Lonchura striata: one gene and its partner. Each later gene encodes a partner of the first gene's protein in a complex. Links are inferred from orthologs where the notes say so. Each region holds a gene or a part of one and is shown on either strand. Other genes may lie near its edges.

Evidence for each region.
Region 2: NBAS (region 1) and RINT1 share a complex: the UniProt entries of both Homo sapiens proteins name them as parts of the NRZ complex. The link is inferred for Lonchura striata from reciprocal best matches to the Homo sapiens genes NBAS and RINT1.

The regions. Positions count from the first base shown.
Region 1 is NC_134605.1:101,621,446-101,632,107, reverse strand, and holds the start of NBAS (NBAS subunit of NRZ tethering complex), read left to right. Parts: upstream 1-4,958; 5' UTR 4,959-4,994; coding exon 4,995-5,132; intron 5,133-9,561; coding exon 9,562-9,616; intron 9,617-10,269; coding exon 10,270-10,306; intron 10,307-10,662. UniProt on the Homo sapiens protein: Involved in Golgi-to-endoplasmic reticulum (ER) retrograde transport; the function is proposed to depend on its association in the NRZ complex which is believed to play a role in SNARE assembly at the ER. Required for normal embryonic development.
Region 2 is NC_134607.1:59,929,431-59,939,999, reverse strand, and holds the start of RINT1 (RAD50-interacting protein 1), read left to right. Parts: upstream 1-5,177; 5' UTR 5,178-5,266; intron 5,267-6,308; 5' UTR 6,309-6,327; coding exon 6,328-6,504; intron 6,505-6,662; coding exon 6,663-6,904; intron 6,905-7,065; coding exon 7,066-7,239; intron 7,240-7,316; coding exon 7,317-7,466; intron 7,467-8,660; coding exon 8,661-8,817; intron 8,818-10,569. Other genes in the region: PUS7 (pseudouridylate synthase 7 homolog), read left to right, coding at 1,374-1,503, 2,534-2,625, 3,297-3,433. UniProt on the Homo sapiens protein: Involved in regulation of membrane traffic between the Golgi and the endoplasmic reticulum (ER); the function is proposed to depend on its association in the NRZ complex which is believed to play a role in SNARE assembly at the ER.

The DNA of each region.
Region 1 (10,662 bases):
TTCTTTGAAACTTACACGATGTTACACAATCTACTATTGCTTTACAAGCTACATTGTCAAATATAGTTTAAAAATATAGACACAGTAAAAAGGCATTTTTTTCTCAGTAGTTGTTTCTTCTTGAACTCTTTCCCAAGATCCAACAAAGCTTTCACATTGCCCTGAATCCCTAGGTTCAGAATTTGAATTTTTGTTTAACCTAATTCTAGGCTACACAGTTGCCTATGTTATGTGTAGTAAATATAATTCGCGCCATTCCTTGTATGAAATATATAATATTGGATACTTGTTAGATTATGCCTGTTTGTATTAGTTCCCCCCCTTTGCAGGCGAGACTGGGTGTATATTGGAAACTGATTTACAAGTAAAAGGATGTGGCTCAGCCAGGAGATGGGCCATGTCTGGACTCCAGGTGCTGATCATCGGATGCTGATCATCACATAAATGGTCCAAGATGGATATCATGGAAGTCCTCAGACAGATACAAAGAAAATCTTATTAACCTATGGACTCTGAATAGAAGAAAAGACTGATCGCTGAAATCTTGGCCTCAGGCAGAATTTTCCCTATAAAACCCGCTTGTGCCAGGATGGAGGTGTGTGGGCATAGAGGAAAACCTCTGCTGAGGCTGACTCCTTGTTGCACACCCAGGGCCAACCCTGAGCTTGGCTCTGTTCTTTCCTTGTGGCTGGCTAGATAGAATTTGATTGCAAAATAAATATTTTATTTTTTCATATTATTTTGGCTGGACAAATTTTCATTTATAACACCTAAAAGAGTTTACTAACACAAGCAAAAATTATACGGAAGGAGCAGAAGTGTCAGGGTGAGAAATAGTTTTATTTATATTTTACAAATGCTTTATAAAGTTGCAGGAAAGAGGCTGAAGTATCAGTTCTTTTGTAATTATTTCACAGAACCAGGTTGGGAAGGATACCTGAGATCATTGAGTGCAACCTGTGAGAACACCACCTGGTCAACTAGACCAGGCACTGGGCGCCATGCCCAGTCTTCCCTTACACTGCTTCATGGACCGTGACTCCACCACCTCTGGGCAGCCCATTTCTATGTTTAACAACTCTTCTTGTGAAGAAATCCTTCCTAGTGTCCAACCTGGATCTCCCCTGGTGCACCTAAAGGCTGTTCTCTCATCCTTTGGCTTCTCGCCTGGGAGAAACGGAGCGCTCCCGGCTCCAGGCTCCCTTCAGGGCTGTTCAGGGCCAGGGGCTCCCCTGAGCCTCCCTCGCTCCAGGCTGAACACCCCCAGCTCCCTCAGCCGCTCCCCATGTGGGTCTGTGCCCTGACCCTTCCCCAGCTCCCTGGCCTTGCCTGGACACACTCCAGTGCGGTGGTGTGTTTTTCTTTCATTTGATATTTGTTTAATATCTGTTTCCCCCCCCAACCCCCCTTTCCCTGCCCCTTTCCCTAGAACCTTCCCTGTCATTCATTCTAGCCCCCTCCTCAGCTTCCAGATGTTAGTTCTGCCCTAAACTCCTCCCCTGCTATTCCCTCATTGGTTACTGTTCCTACACCCGTCCTCCTGAGTTCTGTATAAAACCTTTGCCCCCCCGCCCGCCGGGGTCTTGGGGCTCATGGAATAAAACCATCTCGTTCCCCCCCCAAGTCCCGTGTCGCCTTCGTCTGTCCCTGCGCGCCACGAACTGAAACTGCAGAGCTTGCGGGGGAAAGCGGCCGCCCGTTCTCTTCCCTCACCGCCCAGCACGGCTCGGAGTGCCGCGGCGAGGAGCGCATGCCGCGCCTCAACATATGGTAGCGAGAGGATGGTTCCCTCCTTCGTCTTGTAGAAAAAACGGGCAAATTCGTGGGGGCGCCCGCCTCACAGAAGAGGAAGGAGGGAAGAGGAACATCTACGGCCGTAAAAGCTCTGCCTGATGCTAAGAGGAGCTGAGCGCCGAGCGAAAAACTGACGCTCCGGGACCTCTTTGTTCTCGCCATCTTCCCGCCCGGGAGCAGCCGCGCTGCACGGGCAGCCGGGCTGCAGAGCTTTTTGGCGGGCAGACTTACCCGAGAACACAGAGGGCGGTTTTGGCAGCGGCTCGGGGGAGCCTGAAGAAAGGCTGATCGAGAAGAGGTTCATTCCTCGGTCAGCATCTGCAGCGAGACCACCGGAGGCTGATAGTGGCCGAAACCAAGGCTTCGGGGACGAGTCTTGGTTTAACGGGAACACCCAGGCTTCCGGAAGGGCCAAAACCGGGAAGGAACATCCCCAGTTTTTAGCGCGACTTTTCCATCGAGTCGAGGAGAAGATTCAAGCCATCTCCGTCCGAGCCTGCAAGGTAAGGTGGGCTACACGGGGTGGGGGTCGCCCCGACGGACGGCTGGGTCTGCCACTTTTTTTTCTCGCGTTTTAACCCCCGTCTGCGCCCAGACTGGGGCTGTAGCCGTGCATGTCCCTGGCAAGCGGGTGGGTTTTCTTTTTCTGGGAGAAGCTAGCACTGAGTGCTATCCTTCGCCTAGTCTTCTGTGGGGACCTAAATTAGATCGCTTTTTCTTCTCCTCGAAAAAGTTGTCTTCTCTATCCTCCCCTCCCCATTCTGGGCTGGACGGAGGGGGTAGAAAAGACACCAGTAGGGATCAGCTAAGAAGACGACACGTTAGCTATAGGAGAGTTGTTAAAAGGGGCCCTTTACACCCACGCATTGCGCCGACATCCAGCTGCGTCAGGCGGCCCCCCCCCCTCCTATAAATTTCCCCTTTTTGCTTCTGTGAAGCTCCCTATGCCCCCATCCCCTCGGACTTTCCTAAAACCCTTTCCTATCCTCCCTTGGGGATTGCTGTGGCCGAGCCGCCCCAAGTGCCCCGCCGGACACTGCTCAGGCCAAGTGCAGTGTATCTGGCACCCCCTCTCAAGATGGCGCTGGCCACGCCGCTTGGGACCCGCTTTCCCGCCTTGACCCTTCTTTTCCGCCCCTGGTTTCCCGCCAGTCCCATCTCTCCCCCAATAGCCCTGCACCGTCCCTGCACGAGGCTAGTCCCTATTGTGGGGAGGCGGGGTTAGATATTCCCCCATCCTTCTTCAGGCTCGTCCTCCGGGGAGAGGGTCGGGAGGGATCTTCTCCCGAGGAAATGGAGCCGAAACCCGGGACTGAGGATCCGTCATTTTGTCTTCCCCCTGAAATGGCGGCGCCCCGGTCCACCCCTTACCGATACCCCCTGTTAATCATGGCAATCACTAATTAAGTGATTGTCTGATTCCCCTATCCTATTCCTTAATGTACCCTACCCAATACTCCTTTTTATTTAACTACGAATTCCTCTTTTTGCTTTTGATTATTTTTGAATAATCTGTTTGTTGAGTTATATTTTATAGAAAAAAAAAAAAAAATCATCCCAGTTAATTATTACTCAAGATATTATGCCCACCTCTCAAACGGACATTCAAATTGAACAAACCACATCGCTATCCGCTGACTCTGCTTTAAAACAAGCGCCGTTATCCGCTGACTCTGCTTTAAGAATTTAAGAAGCTGAACATCGCAAACGCCGCGACGCAGCAAATTCTAAATCAGATGAAGTCACAAATCCTGCTGTGCTTTGTACCCTTAATTTGGACTCATTTAAGACAATTTTATATACTCCAGATGAAGTTTTTATATGTTTCATATGTTATAATCACAATTAGTTTATCATTTTTTAATGTCTTTCAATTTATGTTTTTTTAATAATATGTAATGTTACAATTTGATTTTATATTAAGTTGTTTTGTTATAATTATAATTAATTCAGTCTTTTCTGATATTTTTTAACTTAAAGGCTGTGTTTAACCATTATTGCTACAGGAATCACTCAGCTACTATATCGCTTCAGGCTTGCTGCATTGCTGCGAAATTTAAAAATTTATTAGTTATATTTAGTTGATCTTTTATTATATTTAATTCCAATAATTCCATTTAATTATTTTATTCAAATTAGATAGTTATAATTTTAATCATTCTAATTAAATTTTTTAATTTAATTTCTGTCAATTATTTCATTCTATTTCAATTATTTACATTATTTACATTATTTTAAATTGTTACTCAGAACAGCAAAACAGCAAGTTTTGTGCAGTCTTGTGTCTAATTTAAGCTGTTACTACTCTTCCTGCCCTATAAATGCAATAATGTGTCTTTCATGTCCTTTAAGTAATTTACAATGTTATCATATGATTTTATATTATTTGCATGTTTTATTAATTTGCTTAAACCACAAAATTCTCCTTCTTTTTGTAAAGTAAAAGAGGGAGATGCGGTGGTGTGTTTTTCTTTCATTTGATATTTGTTTAATATCTGTTTCCCCCCCCAACCCCCCTTTCCCTGCCCCTTTCCCTAGAACCTTCCCTGTCATTCATTCTAGCCCCCTCCTCAGCTTCCAGATGTTAGTTCTGCCCTAAACTCCTCCCCTGCTATTCCCTCATTGGTTACTGTTCCTACACCCGTCCTCCTGAGTTCTGTATAAAACCTTTGCCCCCCCGCCCGCCGGGGTCTTGGGGCTCATGGAATAAAACCATCTCGTTCCCCCCCAAGTCCCGTGTCGCCTTCGTCTGTCCCTGCGCGCCACGAACTGAAACTGCAGAGCTTGCGGGGGAAAGCGGCCGCCCGTTCTCTTCCCTCACCGCCCAGCACGGCTCGGAGTGCCGCGGCGAGGAGCGCATGCCGCGCCTCAACACTCCAGCCCTCGGTGTCCTTCCTGCCGGGAGGGACCCAGAACTTACAAATCAGCTAATTTTATCTGCTTGAGAGAGCTGAACGCTAGGAACTCTAACTGGTAGGACTGAAGTATTTAGAAGTCCTCCGTGGCACCATTAAGAACCACTTGCGAGAAATCCACGTTTTCCCTTTTCCCCGTTTTTTGCCCCTCTTCGGTCAGGGCTCCATCCACACCCCGAGGTCCCGCCCGCCGCGGGCCGGCGCCGCGCGAGTGAAAGGCGGAGCGGTTTGGCCGCCGCCGGTTGCCGTCGCCGCGGCGGCGCGGGCAGGGCGGGGCGGTCCGGCATGGCCGCCGCCGGCAGGGACCGCGGCGGGAGCCCCCGGGAGCGCGGCATGGCCGGCGAGCAGGCGGAGGACGGGGAGGAGAACATCCTGTACGACCTGCTGGTGAACGCCGAGTGGCCTCCGGAGACGGAGGTGCAGGTGCGTGTGGCCGCGGCACGGCCGCGGGCGGGGGAGGGGACCGGCCACGTTGGCGCGGGCGAGGACGCGGCGGCGCCCGGGGGCCGCGGGGCCGCGCCGGTGCCTCGGGAGGCTCGGCGGGATGGCCGCGCTGGGCCTGGCGGGCACGCGGCGTGTCCGTGCGGCCACTGTCCCCGTGTGCCTTCGTGTCGCTTAATTCCCACCGTGGCTTGTGCTGCCTGGGGTGCCTTGAAGTGTTGCTTGCTTATTGAACAATGTGTGTCGGGCTTTGCTGTTGAGCTGACACAAGCGAAACTCTGGTGAATGAAGTCCAGGTGTCGTCTCTAGAATCAGCCGTACAGAGAGCTGTGGAGTCTGTGCTGGTGAAAATAGGACCTTCGTTGGGTTTACCTTGTATGAGGAAAATTAGATCCTCTCTCTGGACTCCTGTATCAGTACAGTTGTGTCTGTATTTGCAGGGATAAAAGAGAAAAATATTTGATTTTCTGTCCACAATGCACACAAATATCTATTTCTGATTTCTTAAGTGCTAGTTTACACTGTTCTTGTACTGCAGGTTTTTAGTTATTTCTAGCTGTTCTTCTACCCGGATCACCAGAAAGGCTGAGAAGCTGTTTCATCTTACCTTTTTCATGTTTTCCTCTGCAATGTGCTGAGCTTGCTGCCTTTTGTCTGCACTTGGATTGACTTGGATATAGATGATGCGAGCAGTGTGGTTTTATTCCTTTCTTGTAGTGGCTTTTAAGTCTACTGAAGTTTTTAATGCATTTCCCACTGAAGGTTTGTAATAGAAGCATTTTAGCAAAGTTTTATGCTTAATGAGAACAGCTGAACAGAAAAGATGTAAAAACATCACAAGGGGAAGACTTATCTGTTAAAAATTACTAGAGCCATGCTCAAAACTGAATCATCAATACCACAGATTCCAACAAAAAAAAAAAAAAGTTTTCATTTGTCAGAAAGATTTTTTTGGTGTTGTTGCTCTTGATCTGTAAATCCTCAGTTGCAGCAACACTTATGGGTGTTTGGAAAACACGATTGCAGTATTACTATTTATTAGCTTAATAGGGTATTTGTATAGATGAATTGATAGTTGCACTTATTTTAATTCAACTGTGTTTTGAGAAATGGTAAATAGTCTTTGTTTTTAGTAGCATATGGAAACAATTCTCCTGTTGCAAACCATGAGGAGAACTTAGGTATGACACAAAACTGTGGTTCTTTTACAGCCGTGTTAAGGGGGCACATTTCTGACAAATGCGTTTTCTGCTGCCATAGTGTTCTTGAGGTTGTGTGGTAAGTTGATTAAAGAACTGATAACTCTGAGAAACAACAATGTTGTTTCATCTCCTCTTGTTAGTAGTCTCTCTAGTACCCCTGTAGTGTACTGGAGGGGGCTGTGAATAATAGGTTAGTGAGATGACACCTCTCCATGGTGGGGATGCCAATTTAAAGTGACTGTGTAACCACAGTCTGAGGGTCCTTATCTGCCCTGGTAGTCAGAATTTCTAAGCATCATTGAATTCTGCTTGTTAGCTTAAGCAGATGGTGGTGGTTGTTTTAAACTTGATATTTCTTGCCTATTTATTTTTAAGATAATACCTGTTTTCAATAGCAGAAGTTGGTTTGAAAATCCTATGCTGTATAATTTGCTTGGATTTACATTCTTTTTGGAATCTGTCAGTACTCAAGGACACTTCTGATAGTCTTTTTGCCATTTTAGTGGGAAATTGATTTTACACTGACAACATAGGCAAACAGATTATTTTGTCAGTATGAGTCACTTTTTGTCTTAAGATGCCTTAACAGTGATACTACTTAGGTGATTGTCCTAAATGACACCTAAGTGTCCTTAGGTGACATTCCCTTTGGAGCATCTGTCTCTTTTAGTCCTATTTTTTTCACACTCTTCAGAAAAAAATTATACCCTACTTTCTTGTAGAACTGAATCTTTTGGAATAAGTGAGGTAAAGAATGGTAGAAATGGAAAGGAAGTTGAATGCTGCACTGGGAAATGAAATTAGTTGTCTTCCTATGCAGTAATTTAGGCTACAAAGCCAGACCTTAAACTTTTACAGGTCTTTATTGACTTTATTTTTTCTGTTCTCTCATTTGGGATGATTAATTTTTAATTGCAGAGCACTAGGTCTTAAAGCTCTAATTATTGGAAGATGAGCCTTGGTGATGAAGATGTAAAATCATGTTAAATTCAAGACATTGATGAAACTGGCATGGATCTCTTGGGCTGAATGCCTAAAATTTTTAATATTACTTCTTGTTGGTATTATCATTCACCTGTACTGAGCTTTCCGGTAAGAATTTTTTGGTGGAAGGAGGGCCAGGGAGAGTTATAGTAGTTATTTGTGGAGGAAACACTCAAGGAATTGACTACACCAAAGAAGAGAGTGGTGTGGAAATCAAACAGTCTGTGTTCAGGATAGTGATGCCATTGTATAAAATGCACTGTTTGAGAACAATGAAATATATAATGAGAATAAAAGGAATTACTTAGTAGTAGATCCATGTATAGTGAAAATAGTGAATGAGGCAGTGGGTGTGGACAAGGCTGCAAGAGAGGACTTGTGAGGTGATTTATGGAGATATAGGCAGATGGAAATCTCTTCAAATTATTTTCCAAAATGTATCACCTGGTCTTGTGGGTTTTGTTTTTTCATTACAGTCTAACGTTTTGAGATTTCCCCAACACCCACCAGCTTCTGTCCCCCCAGTAAGTTTGCAGGCTGTGCAAAGAAATCCAAAACTAAGTGGGTGACTTGTCAGCAAGAAAGTTACTTAGATTTTATTTCTGGAAGGCTGTCAGGAAGGAAAAATAGAAGTTGTTTTCCCAAGAAGGAATGAATTAAAAAGAAATACAGCACATCTGGTAACCATTGCTATTCCTGAAATGATAAGAATATGTTATAAAAAGTAAAACTCAAGTCTTTGGGATTTAACAGTAAATCAGTTTTGTGAAGTATCGAAGATGTATGGAATAGCAGCCTGTAGTTTAGGCTCAGGACCAGACACTTAAAATATTAATAAAAAATTCTAAAGAGATGTAAGCAGTTTTAGGAAATGATTTTTTTTACTGGGAACTTCCTCATAATCCAAAAACTTAACAAGCTCTCCTTTTAAGGTCCCTAGGAAATTGCAGCTCTCCCTGAGGTTCTGGGGTAGCTGTAAGAAATAATTTATGCTTTCACTTATTTTACTGTAATGCATTGTTATTTCCTAGCTGATCAGCCTGAATGTGGAATGTTATCTATTAGTACAGCTGTGTTTGCTTCTTACACGCTGTGAGATGACAGCCTGGTTATTTGAAAGACTGTTTATGGATTGCAAACTTTGCCTGGAAAACTAATCTTTACTTTAACAATTTAAATTTGGGAGGCCAAATACTATTTTTTAAGCATAGCCATATTGCAAAATGTTGATAAATTTGTATGTCTTTCAGTGTTTACTGCTTTGTAACTTGGTGAGGCCTGAATATTTCAGTTAATGGGAAATTTGCTCTATATATTTTTTGTATTGAATGGAAGAGAAAATTCAGTTATTGCCTACTCTGATGCTCAGTTTGTGGTGCTCTAATATTCTCATTAGAAAGGTATAAACATGATTGCTTATTTTGAGGATTTTTTGTGGATCCTTCCTTATTGGTTATCGTTTTTCACTCCTCCGTTTTGTATCTTCTTTCTGCTTCTTACTGACAAAATATTGTCTTACTGACAAATAATTTTAACTCCTCTTATAGATAAGCATATATATCCTGTGTTGTTTTTGTATTCCTTTTTTCTGTGTTTGGAGAGTGCTTTCATTTATATAGTGACTGCCGTTGCTCCCTGTGCCTAAATTAGGGCAGGTGGAAAGGCTGTGTGAGATGGTATTATCTAGAGGTGGTTTTCCAAGTGGCCGTATTACATAGTACAAATTGATGTAAAAAGAGGTGTTTTTTTTTCAGAAATTGTTTTTCTTAATGTTTCTGAAACTTTCATGAGCAATCTTTAGGTAGCTTAGCACTTAGATATTAACGTAATATGTTGCACACTGAGTACTTTGACTGCTAGGCATTACAGATCATTGTGGCATTTATTTGGCATAAAAAGAATGATCTATAATGGCTTACAGGAGAACACAATCAGAAGTCAGTGTCTTTTGTTACTACCCAAAGATTGAGGCAAAGCTGAATCAATAGACAATCTGTAGCACATTTTGTTTATTGCATCCTGACATTTAAATTATTTGGTGTTACAGCCTGTTTTAGCTTATGCAGTTAAAGGAGACGTTATATGAAGTAGTGAGTAATAGGAAATACACAATGAACTTGTAGGCTAGGAGCCAACTTAAACTTAGTCAGTGAATGTATGTATGAGTGTTGTATTTAAGTAAAAATGTGTGACATGGTGTCTGATGATTATTATTGTAATTGCAGCCAAGAGGCAGCAGAACGCATGGTGCATCATTTATCATCACTAGAGCAATTGCAGGTAAATATTACTTGTTCTTACATTCATGAGGTCTAAGACTCTGTGGATTACTTGTAAATTTTACAATTTCTGCCCTTTAGAGTGCCTAATGATGGAAATAGCAATCGGAATAGAGTACAGGATGTATTTTCAGGAAGATGTTTTCTGGTTGTGAACGTGGCTGTGTTATTTTTATGTCAATTTTGTAAGCATTCTTGTCTCCATTAGTTTGTTGGGACAAACTAATAAACTATACATCTTAGGAGTTAACAAGGTCTGTGTTTTGCAAACTGTATTGGAGCCTTTTTTCCCCCCCCCTCTCTTAAAGTCTCTTGTACTGGGCTGTCTGCTAGTTAGTTCTATGAGGAAGTTTTAAATTCTGATGATATTACATTTCATAAACCAATTGTTAAATGTCAGTGACTGAACTGTATTTTCATCCAGTAGAAATTTATCTTAAAATGAAACAAAATAGTGCAGTGGTTTGGTTTTTTGTTTGTTTGTTTTTTATTTGCCATTTGCATTTATTCTAACATAAGAATTTGTTGGCCAAATTTAAAGGATTTTTCTCTCAATACCTTTTTCTTTAATGAGAATTTGAGATTCCCTGTGCAGTAATCTGGAGGGTGTTTTAAGACTACTAGAGATGTAATTTTTACCTCTTTCCATTTTAGGTCCTGCATTGTTTTTGCTTCAGTACATCTGGTACAGGTAAGTTTTACAAAAATATTGCTTAATTTTCCTATTTGGTAATATTTTTATAGCTTTTTGATTTGATGGAAAGTAATTCCTCATTGGAGTAAAACTGAACACTTGTTTAGAATATTGTCCTAGAAATGCATAGAATAGCCACTTTTCTCAAATTGAGTTGCAGCTGAAGTCTAAATAGAAGAAAACTGGTAAGTACTAGTTTGACTTTGTGCTTTCATCAGAAGCTGAAGTAACATGGCAGTTGGAGCAGGTTTCTCCAAACACGTGTTTTTGTCCTTCCCAGTCCCAGCTGAGATACTGCAAGGGAAGCTGTTGTGAGGTTTCTTCTTAAGCCTGTGACAGATATGGTGGCCTGA
Region 2 (10,569 bases), on another chromosome or scaffold:
GCATGTATTGAATACCACCCCAGCTTGATTTAGCCCACAGATTGGTTGGGGTAAATTCCAGCTCTTCTCCACTATTTCACAGGACACATCTCTTCCAGCTCTTCTCCACTATTTCACAGGACACATCTCAGTTCCTTGAGGAACTCTGCTTCTAGGTAGAGCTACAGCCAGTAGTGACTATACTTTGAGATGCTGAGCCAGACAGCTGTTACCCACTTACCAGTCCACCGACTGTAATGTTCTCACCTGGGACACAAAGATGCTCTGGGAATACGTTGACAGCCTTGCTAAAGGCAAGGCAGGCAACAGTCCCTGCTCTCCCCTCATCCATAGGTGTAATAATTCAATCATAGAAGACACTAAGGTTGGTGGGTGTTTTGCTTTTTCTCTTTTTTTTTTTTTCCCCTCATATTAAAACCACAGTCATTGTATGCCCAGAGAAGATTACATTATTTTTCCCAGCAATCAAAGTGAGCCTGACTGGTCTCTAATTCCCTAATTATCTTTCCTGCTCTTTCTGAAGTTGGGTGCAGCACTTGTTTTCCACATTTGTCTGGGACATCCCTAGATCTGCACAATCTCTGAGGTGATAAGAGAAAAACTTCACCATGACATAAGCCAGCCTGTATCTTTGCCCACTACTGGTAGTCCCTCTTTCTTAACCTTGCCTCTAAGGTGGTCAAGGCCAAGGCAAAAGGGGCCTTGAGACCATCAGCCTTATGTCTGTCACTAGACCAGCTGCCCTGTTTAGCACCAGGCCATCACTTTCCTTGTATTCCTTCTGTTGCAGCTGAACTCTTGCTGGTCTTGATGTCATTTGCTGCTTTCAACTGTAGCTGAGCTTTGGCTTTCCTAACACCATTTCTGTGTACCTGGACAATGCTGGTGTAGTCCCTCTTTGTAGCTGCCCCTAGGTTTCACCTGTTCTATGTGTTCTTATAGATTGGGTTAGTCATGAGTTCCATGCACATTTTCCTTAATATTGGATTGAACTGTTCTTGTACTGTCAAATTGTCAACTGATTTCTCTCTGCTGCTTTTTAATGAGAGAGTAATGGGTAGTCTGGCCCTTTTTTTTTCACCATATACCTGAGATTAGTCCTGTGAAGTCTAGAAAATTGGAATGCATGTATGAGATGACATTTAAATGTCAATAAAGTATTTTGTAAATTTTGTTTTCGGCTGAAATTTGATTTGATGTGTTCTTGGCTACTGCCTATGCTAATCAGGGTGTAGAAGTAAACATTTAAACTCTGTGCAGTATTTATCCCATATATGCATATTTAGCATATATGCTAAATTTAAGGGAAGAGAACAATCCATGAAAACAGTCTGCTTAAATTGGTAACACTACTATATTTTCCTCTCTTACAGTTGGTGAGGCCTACAAGGAGATGCTGGTAGCTGACAACCTTGATATCAACAACATGAGGCATAAAATCAGAGATTACTCACTTTCTGGAGCATACAGAAAAATTATCATTCGGCCTCAGAATGTCAATTGGTGAGTTGGAGCATAAAGGAGATTACACTTGCTAGCATAGAGTTTATTTAAATACAAAACAACATGAGACTGATCCATGGAACATCCACACAGACTGAAACATAGGTAGAAAGGAATCTCTCTGCACTTCTCTCATGTTTTTAATGCAGCTGAAGTGGAACTATAGCCTTTTCCTTGGTTCTCTAGTTCTGTGGTGGAGGAGTATCAAGACATCTTAGCTAGTTGTTCACTCCTTGCAAGGACTTGCCTGAACACTTCATAGATAATACTTAGGTTGAAACAATGATAGCTAATATTCAGAATAGGGTTTTTTGTAGTCTTGCTATAAAAAAGTTGGTCTCAAATTATCTATCAATCAGAAAAATTTGTGTCACTTCATCCTACTAAATCACTGTTGTTAGAGATATAGCCTAGTTTTCATATGGCAACTGAGTAAATACCTTTTAAACAGGAAACTGTACAAATGTGCAGGAAAACACTATCACTGATGCATAGAATTAAATATAGAGGATTTAGGAGCACAGAAATACAAATATTTATACTTGAAACATCAGCACTAATTAATATTAAGTTTGTCTACTTCCCAGTTAGTTTTTCAGCCTCATGGTTACATATTGGATTTATGTTAAATGAATGGCAGAAACTGTAGAATATCTTAGCCCATTCAAAGTTTGGATAACTATTGAAAGGCTTCACTTGTGCTAGGTACTCTTAGAGTTGACACCAGTCTTCCCTTAATTTCATGAACTATACTTCTTGTGTAGTTGAAAATTCTGACAGCACACAAGGGCAGGCAGATGAGTTATGCAAAGAAGCTTCTCACTAATTGTTTTTTGACAATCTTCATAAAGCCAAGGCAAATCTTCTACATAAAGCTTTACTCATTATTTTGCCTAATTCAATTTCAGTTGTAAATGCCAAACTGCAATAATAATAATAAAAAAATAATATTGTAATAAATACACATTTATATAAAATGTGTTAACCTAAATAATTTTAAATAATAATAAATTTTATGTATGTTATAAAGGGAAGTTGTTGCATATGATGATCCTAAAATCCCATTATTTACTACGGATTTGGATAAACTGGAAGGAAAACCATTACCAGTACTCCCTACAGGTAAGTTGATTTTTCTGCTGGTTTGCTAAATGGGAAGTTTGATCTGGCTGTTGCTTTCAATTGCTGCATAGTCAAATCTCCTTTAAGGAAGAGCTTTCACTTAAATATTGACTGTTAAGTGGTGGTAACAACAGGACAGGCATCTAAATAAGGACCCCGATTTCTCAAGGGTGAAAGCCATTCCTCCAGCATCTGTATTGACTGCTACATTTTCTTACAGACATCTGTAAAATCAAGTAAATGCCTAGCAGTAAATGTCTGCAACTAACAAAGGTGGAATTAAGTCACAAATTGTCTATATACTGAGCTTGTATTATTGATGCTGAACACAGATGACTGAAATACTTAACTCTGGTCATAAGGTGTTTTGACACTGCTTTCCAGAAAAGCGAAGACAGGCTAGGAATTGAGTCTGAAAGAATTAATATTTGCTTTTAGAAGAAGAAAACTCTGAAACCACCACTTTGTCCTGAGAGAAAATGTTAAATTGTTTCATTAAAATTTTCACTTGGATTATAAACAGGAATGCGATGGTGGTGGTTGCTTTGCTTTATGGGCTGGGAAAGTTGGTTGTGGAAACTGTTAGTTCAGTTTAGATGGCATCCAGAATAAGCATTATATATGCCCTTAACCACTTGTTCTTGTTTTTTGTCTCTTACACCTGCTGATAGATGGCAAATTCAGGGCACTAAAGATGGAGTTCTCCCTTCCCCCATCCACTTACGCGACCATGGCGATTCGAGAAGTTTTGAAAATGGACACAAGCATAAAAAACCAGACACAACTGAATACTACCTGGTTGCGCTGAGTGAACTGCACAATTATTTGATTTTAACAATGTTTTTCTTATTTACATGTTCTGTACAAATCTTTAAAGAGTCACAGTAAAAAATTTGTATTTTTTTAAGTTTTTTTAGTGCTAGCATTTAACTTCAGTAGTCCTTTGAAAGATGGTGACTGTAATATAATAAGGATTTTAGTGACTGGTGCTTTTTACTGAATGAGTAACTTGAGGTGTATCTTTAGAATTGTGCTTATAATGGCATCAGACCTGGAAGAATGTTTAGCTTGCTTTCTTTGGGCAAGCACTGAATGTTTTCAGGAGTTCAGCTGCCCGTGAAGTCTTTTCAAATACAATGAATTACACGGGGAGAGATGAATTACAATAAAATTAAGATACTGATGAACATATGTATTGCTGGAGTTTTGCTAGTAGCATTTGCACTGATGCAGTAGCAGATTCTTTTAGCAAGGCTTTTATGTGCTGTAAAGCTGCACAGCTCTTTTAAATATGTCCGACTTTTCATTGAGAAAACACTTGTATTTTCCAGCTAATACCTGTACCAAAGAACAGGTACTACAAATAAACTAACCTGAAACTCTGAGCGTGTATCAGTGAGCGCTTCCTTTGCGCCTGTCGCTTGTTGGCGGGGAATGCCTTGCTGTTGGGGGAAAAAAATCCTGTGGGAGCTTTCTAAAGAGACGTGGCCTTTTCAGCCAAGCGTTGCTAGTCCTGTCGCCGGCCGTGGCAGAGGCGGCGGGGGAGGCCAAGAGGTGTGAGGCCGTGTCCCAGGAGCGCGGGGCGGGACAGCCCCGGGCCGGCGGGACAGCCCCGGGCCGGCGGGACAGCCTCAGGCCGGCGGGACAGCCCCGGGCCGGCGGGACAGCCCCGGGCCGGCGGGACAGCCTTGGGCCGGTGGGACAGCCCCGGGCCGGCGGAACAGCCTTGGGCCGGTGGGACAGGCCCCGGGCCGGCGGGTCAGCCCCGGGCCGGGCCGTGTCCCGGGAGCGCGGGGCAGAACAGCCCCGGGCCGGTGGGACAGCCTCGGGCGGGCGGGACAGCCCCGGGCCGGCGGAACAGCCTCGGGCCGGGCCGTGTCCCGGGAGCGCGGGGCAGAACAGCCCCGGGCCGGCGGGACAGCCCCGGGCCGGCGGGACAGCCTCAGGCCGGCGGGACAGCCCCGGGCCGGCGGGACAGCCTCGGGCCGGCGGGACAGCCCCGGGCCGGCGGGACAGCCCCGGGCCGGCGGGACAGCCTCGGGCCGGCGGGACAGCCTCGGGCCGGGCCGTGTCCCGGGAGCGCGGGCCGGGAGCGCCGCGGGGCTCCCGGGAGCGGCGCCGCGCCTGCGCCCCGCGCTCCGCCGGCCGCGGCGCCGCTGACGCGGCGGGGGCGGTGCCGCGGCCGCGGGCGGCTGAGGGCTCCGGGCGGCGGCTGAGGGCTCCGGGCGCCGGCTGAGGGCTCCGGGCGCCGGCTGAGGGCTCCGGGCGGCGGCTGAGGGCTCCGGGCGCCGGCTGAGGGTTCCGGGCGGCGGCTGAGGGCTCCGGGCGGCGGCTGAGGGCTCCGGGCGCCGGCTGAGGGCTCCGGGCGGCGGTGACGGCTCCGGGCGGCGGCTGAGGGCTCCGGGCGGCGGCTGAGGGCTCCGGGCGGCGGTGACGGCTCCGGGCGGCGGCCCCGCGGCGCTCCCGGCCCGGCAGGGAAGCGGCGGCCGTGGCGGCGGAGGAAGGGCTCGCCGAGCGGCGCTGGGCTGAGGGGCTGCCCGGCCGCCCGGCCCGGGCCGCGGGCGGCGGCGCTCCGCTCGCAGCCTGCCGGAGCCCGCGGAGCCTGCAGCCGGCCCTTGGCAGGGCCCGGCCGCTGGCCGAGGTGGGTGCTGGGCCGCGGGGCTGAGCGGGCAGCTGCTGGGAGGGATGCGCCGGAGTCCTGTTCCTGCCTTGTGTAACCAGAGCCTTCCCACTAAGTATGAAAGGAGCACCATTTGGTTGTTTTTTTTCCTGCCGTTTAGTATTTACATTGCTGCAAACAGGAGTATTACTGCTCTGTTTTCTTTATTCGATTATTCTTCTGCAGCACCCTTGGTCGCCCAGTTTGTTCTTCCTGGTGCTCTCTATTGTCTCTGCAACTCTGGCTCATCAGCTGCGCCGCTTCCTCGCTCCTGTTGTCAGTTTAGTAGGGGTTTTAATTAAAGCTTGTAGCAGATGAAGTGCAAGTGTATCGGTTTTTATTTTTAAATACTCTTTTGAAAGTGACGCGGATAAATTGAGGATTGATCTGGCCAAACAGTTGTCACTGTTGCCTTTTCTGTTTCACTGTGGACATCCTCTCAATGTTGGGTTTCTCTGAATGCTGCCAAATGTGTGGATCAGCAAATACCTTTTAAGTTATACTGTGTGGGTTTTTTGGGCTAAAACTTCACTGATGTATTTACTTTCCAAATTATTATAAGGCCCACATGGATACTTTGCTAGTAATGCAGTAGACATGTGTTGGAATCTCTAAAATTTCCTAAACTTGTGAAAAGGGAAAGTGGAACCTTAGCTTCCTTTTTATTTTACAAATTTTTTTGTAGTTTTTATTAAGTTTTCTATATTATATATGTAGGAACTACATATTTCTTGAACTATTTTTAATAGAATTTGTGCTTTTGGTGAAGGAAGAAATTATCAGATGTATTTATCTTTAGTAGTTAATATATAATAAATCACCAGTTGGTTATGTCAGCAAGGTTTTATCAGACCTCAGACTTAAGCCAGTAAATTGTCTCACTTAAAGCAGTATAATTAATGAATATGGTATTTCAGTCTCAGTTTAAATTGAACTGCCCAGCTTTTCATGGAGTTTTGTTCCTCAGTAGATAATATTTGTTTGTGCTGTCTTAGTGTCAGCTAACTAGAAATTGTATACTCAGTATTGCAGAGAAAGAAAACATGGCAAGCATTGCTGTTAGAAAGAAAGAAGTCACTAGAGATCTAGACCACTGTGATATCCCATACTATGTTTCTGAATTTGTGGAAAGAGAACTTGGAAGTGACTATGATTCCCTGGGGAAACTAGACAGCCTGATTGAAAAGCTATCTGAAAACAAAAAGCACTTAGAAGAACAGGTAAGCATCTTTCTGTTTCTTTTCTTTTTTTCTTCTGAACATGCTGTATGACTGATTGAGAATATGAAACTAAATGAAATGTACCAGTATCTCAAATAGTACTGCTCTACACAGTGCAGTGGATTTGTGTCTGCATTGATGCATCTCTGTCAATGCAGGTACTTACAGTTTCGTCAGAAGTCCCTAAAAGAATTCAGAAAGCCTTAAAGAATGCAGAAGATTCCAAAAAGTCTCTGAGTCAGCTTCTGGAGGAGGAAACTGTTCTGTCTGAGTCCATCAGTAGCCACTTGCTGAAAGCTCAGCCATGGATGGAGGATCTCGATGTGCTGATAGGTCAGGTAGAAGAGATCGAGCGACACCTGGCCTACCTCGAGTGGATTTCTCGCATAGAAGAGCTCAGGTAGTTTCTGAGTAGTGGGTATGTTCTGAGACTGGTGACCTGGTTTATTATTAAAATATTTTAAATTCAAAAAAGTTTTGTCTTTACTTTTCAATATACAAGTTATTCTTTTCTGTTGTCATTAATGAATATTTGGCCTTGTCTTTTTTTGTGTTTTATAGTGATAGCATTCAGCAATATCTGCTGACCAACAATGTTCCAGAGGCAGCCAGTACTCTAGCATTCATGGCAGAATTGGATATTAAACTTCAGGAGTCATCTTGTTCTCATCTTCTTGCTTTTGTGAGATCCACTGTTAAATTTTGGCATAAAATCCTTAAGGACAAATTGACAAGGTAAGAGAGATACTGTGACTCTCTCATCTTTATGTTGTACTGTCAGTTGATGTCCTGGTGATTATTTTGTGTTGCAGTGACTTTGAGGAGGTGCTGGCACAGCTCCGCTGGCCCTTTGTGGGGCCACCTCAGTCCCAGGCATTTGGCCTTGCTGCACCAGCCAATGCTCCTGAGGTGTACAACAGCTTGGAGATGCTGTTCTGTCAGCTTCTGAAACTGCAAACCTCGTATCCTTTTAAATCCTTGCAGTGAATTTTAGCAAAAATAAAAACTGTTAGAGATGTACATTCTCAAGGAGAATTATTTAAAATTTTATTCTCCCTAAAGACAGAATATAATTTATATTACTTTGTATTAACAGTAGAATGTTGTGGGGATTTGGTTTTTTTTTTTTTTTTTGGGTGGGTTTTTTATTTGTTTGTTTGTTTGTTTTGGCATTTATAAAATGCCAAGTGCCAAAGTTGTCCTTTTTGTCAGTACCAACATTTTAACTCCAAGTCATCAGATCCAGTGCTCTCATGGTAGCTGACAGTTCAGGTTGCATGAGAATGTGGCCTTACACTGTTTGGAACCATTACCCATGCATGTTAATGAAAAAATGGTGATGTGTGTTTTATGAGACACAGTTAATGCTTTTCCTTTTAAAGCCTTTTGTGAAATAAGATTTAACTACTTTAATATGTCCTGTCCCAGAAGGAAAAAAAGGGAAAACTAAACATACCTGTCTTGGAAGGAGAGTTTACAAAAAGGGGAGACTGCAGGAGGATTTCTGTTGTGCAGCAATCATAAGTCTGCCTTTGAGGTTGCTCAGAGGGCACTGCAGCTTATTCTGTCCCTGATTTTTATGAATTAAATAATTCACAAAAAATCAGTTAAAACTCAAGTTTAACTAAGCCTTTGTGTGTGTGTGACTGTGGCTGATGTTTTTCTTTTTTTTTTTTAATCACACAGCAGAAAGATGCAAGGCCATTGTACACAATCCTGAGTTGGTTACAATTTTGGTTTGGCAGAGTGGCTCACTTAGATCTATTACATGAAAATGGGAAATCATGTGTTGCATTTATTAATCCCAAGAGTCTTTATCCTCCTTTAACAAATATGAATAACTGTGTCTCTTGGACAGCCACTGTGTTTCTGACAGTGGTGCTTTGCTGGGTTCTTACAAGTTTCCTAAATCAAACAGACTCAAGGGACATGTATTGTCATTGAATAAATAATCCCTAAAGACCTGAGTTATATTTAATATTACATAAAGTGGAATATTTTGAGTATCTTTTACAAGGAATTGTATTGTTTTCATAATACTGCCTTTGGTTAATGGTATAGTACTAAGCAGTGTTCATTTTTATAAGCCCATTCTATTGAAATTATGATGCTGGGGTAATTCAACACTAATGTGCATCCTTGACTGTCAAACTTAGAGATGAGCTGTTAACCAAACCTAAACAATTGCCAGAAAAGTACCCTTTACCCCCTTCACCACCAATCGTCCTTCCCATACAGATCATGCTGAATCCTCTTCAGAAAAGATTCAAATATCATTTCACTGGAAATAAACAAACCAATGTTCTTAACAAGGTATGGGAGAAAGCGGTTTGACATTTTTAAATTGCTTTGTAAACAACCTCTAGATTGCTGTGTTTAAATTGTACAGATTTCACATTTTCCAAAATTAGGATTCGTCAAAACTGTGCAGTTCTTGTGCCTACCTAAGTGTGGACAGACATTGAGATAGCACTTGGAGACCTTTCAGAGACACAGGCATTTTATCTGGGTGAGGCAATATTTTTCCCTTGCCCAGATCCTTCATAAAGCATCATTACAATCTTAGACTGACTCCCATCTGTTCACAGGTTTTGATTAATTTCTTCTGTCTTGTTGCAAATGGTTTTGCACTGTTCTGTATTTCTTGAGCTCAAAGGCTGTGACTTTGATTTTTGGCACTGTGTTTTGCAACCATCATGTAACTGAAAATGTTGGATATGAAATGTAATTAGTCCAAAATATGGTTAAATAGTTCTTTTTTTTTAATGGGTTGAATTTTTTGATTTGCATAAAACAAGAGGTGCTGATTTTATCAGTTGGAAACTGACTCACTTTTTCTTTGAATTGACTTCAAAGACTGAGGATTTTTATCTGAGTATTACCATTGGAATGGGTTTCATTGCATTAATGCCACTGCAACATCTGGAGCAGAGTTTGAGAGATGTCTTGTAGCAGTCCGGTTGCACAAGTCTGCTTACGATCACCATCATGTGTAAATCTAAATACATTTGCAGTCTCGACAGATGCTACTGCAGAGCTTTTTAAAATACTGTTTTGTATGTTAGTGGGAAAGAGGTATTTTAGATATGCACAAAATTTTTTTGAGAGCAAATGGAAAATTTACATTGAAGACATTGAATTTGCAAACAATAGGTGAACAACCATTTTAAAAAGAAGAACTTGTTAAGAAAAGTTTACAGGGAATCTAGTGTCAGGTCAGAAAGGTATTTCAACAGGGCATTGCTGAAATTTGGGTTGGGTTTTTGGATTAGGTTTTGGGGTTTTATTGTTTAGTAGTTACTTGGATAACACAATAAAGAAAATTCAAATGTAAAATATTTAAAAGACAGCAACCTGGACAGGATTAACAGTATTTCAGAGACTAAGCGTTCACAGTGACCTTGCCCAGCTGGGGAAGGACTGTCAAAAAAACCCAGCAACCCAAGCATGATAAAATTAATGAGACAAGTGAAAATGAATGCAGAGGTGAGAAACAGACACACAAAATGTGAGTGCACCTCAGCAGAAGGTTCTTTAGCTGTCGGGAGTGAGGAAACTGGAACTGCTTCCAGTTGCACTAACACTGAAAGAAGTGTTCATCAAAACCTGCAGTCCATATTTTTAGGTGTGGAAACTTGAAAAAGCTTAAAGGCATTAAAATGTGAAATGAGAAGGTGATAGATTCCCCACTTCTAGGGGGAGGTTAGGTACCATAAGAAAAAGAGCAGAGCTTTTCTCAGGAGCACATCCTTTTTGTTGTACCAAGAAATAAGGGCCACACAGGAGAACAGGAAGAAGCATATGAAGCAGAAACAAGGCTCTCATGAGTGAGAAAGCAGTAAAGAAAGGGGAAATGAAAATTGAACTTTTGCTTGATAAACACAATATTTGGTACATTTAAGACAATGAAAATCCAGAAATATTTTTCTGACAATGCTTTTATATAAATGAAAGTTAAGTAAAACACAGTGAAAGACTTGTGTGACCTGAGATCAAGAGAAGGCAGGGAAAGAGTGTTGTATTTTCAGAAATTTGTCCTAAAATACTAGTAGCACTTGAATAAAT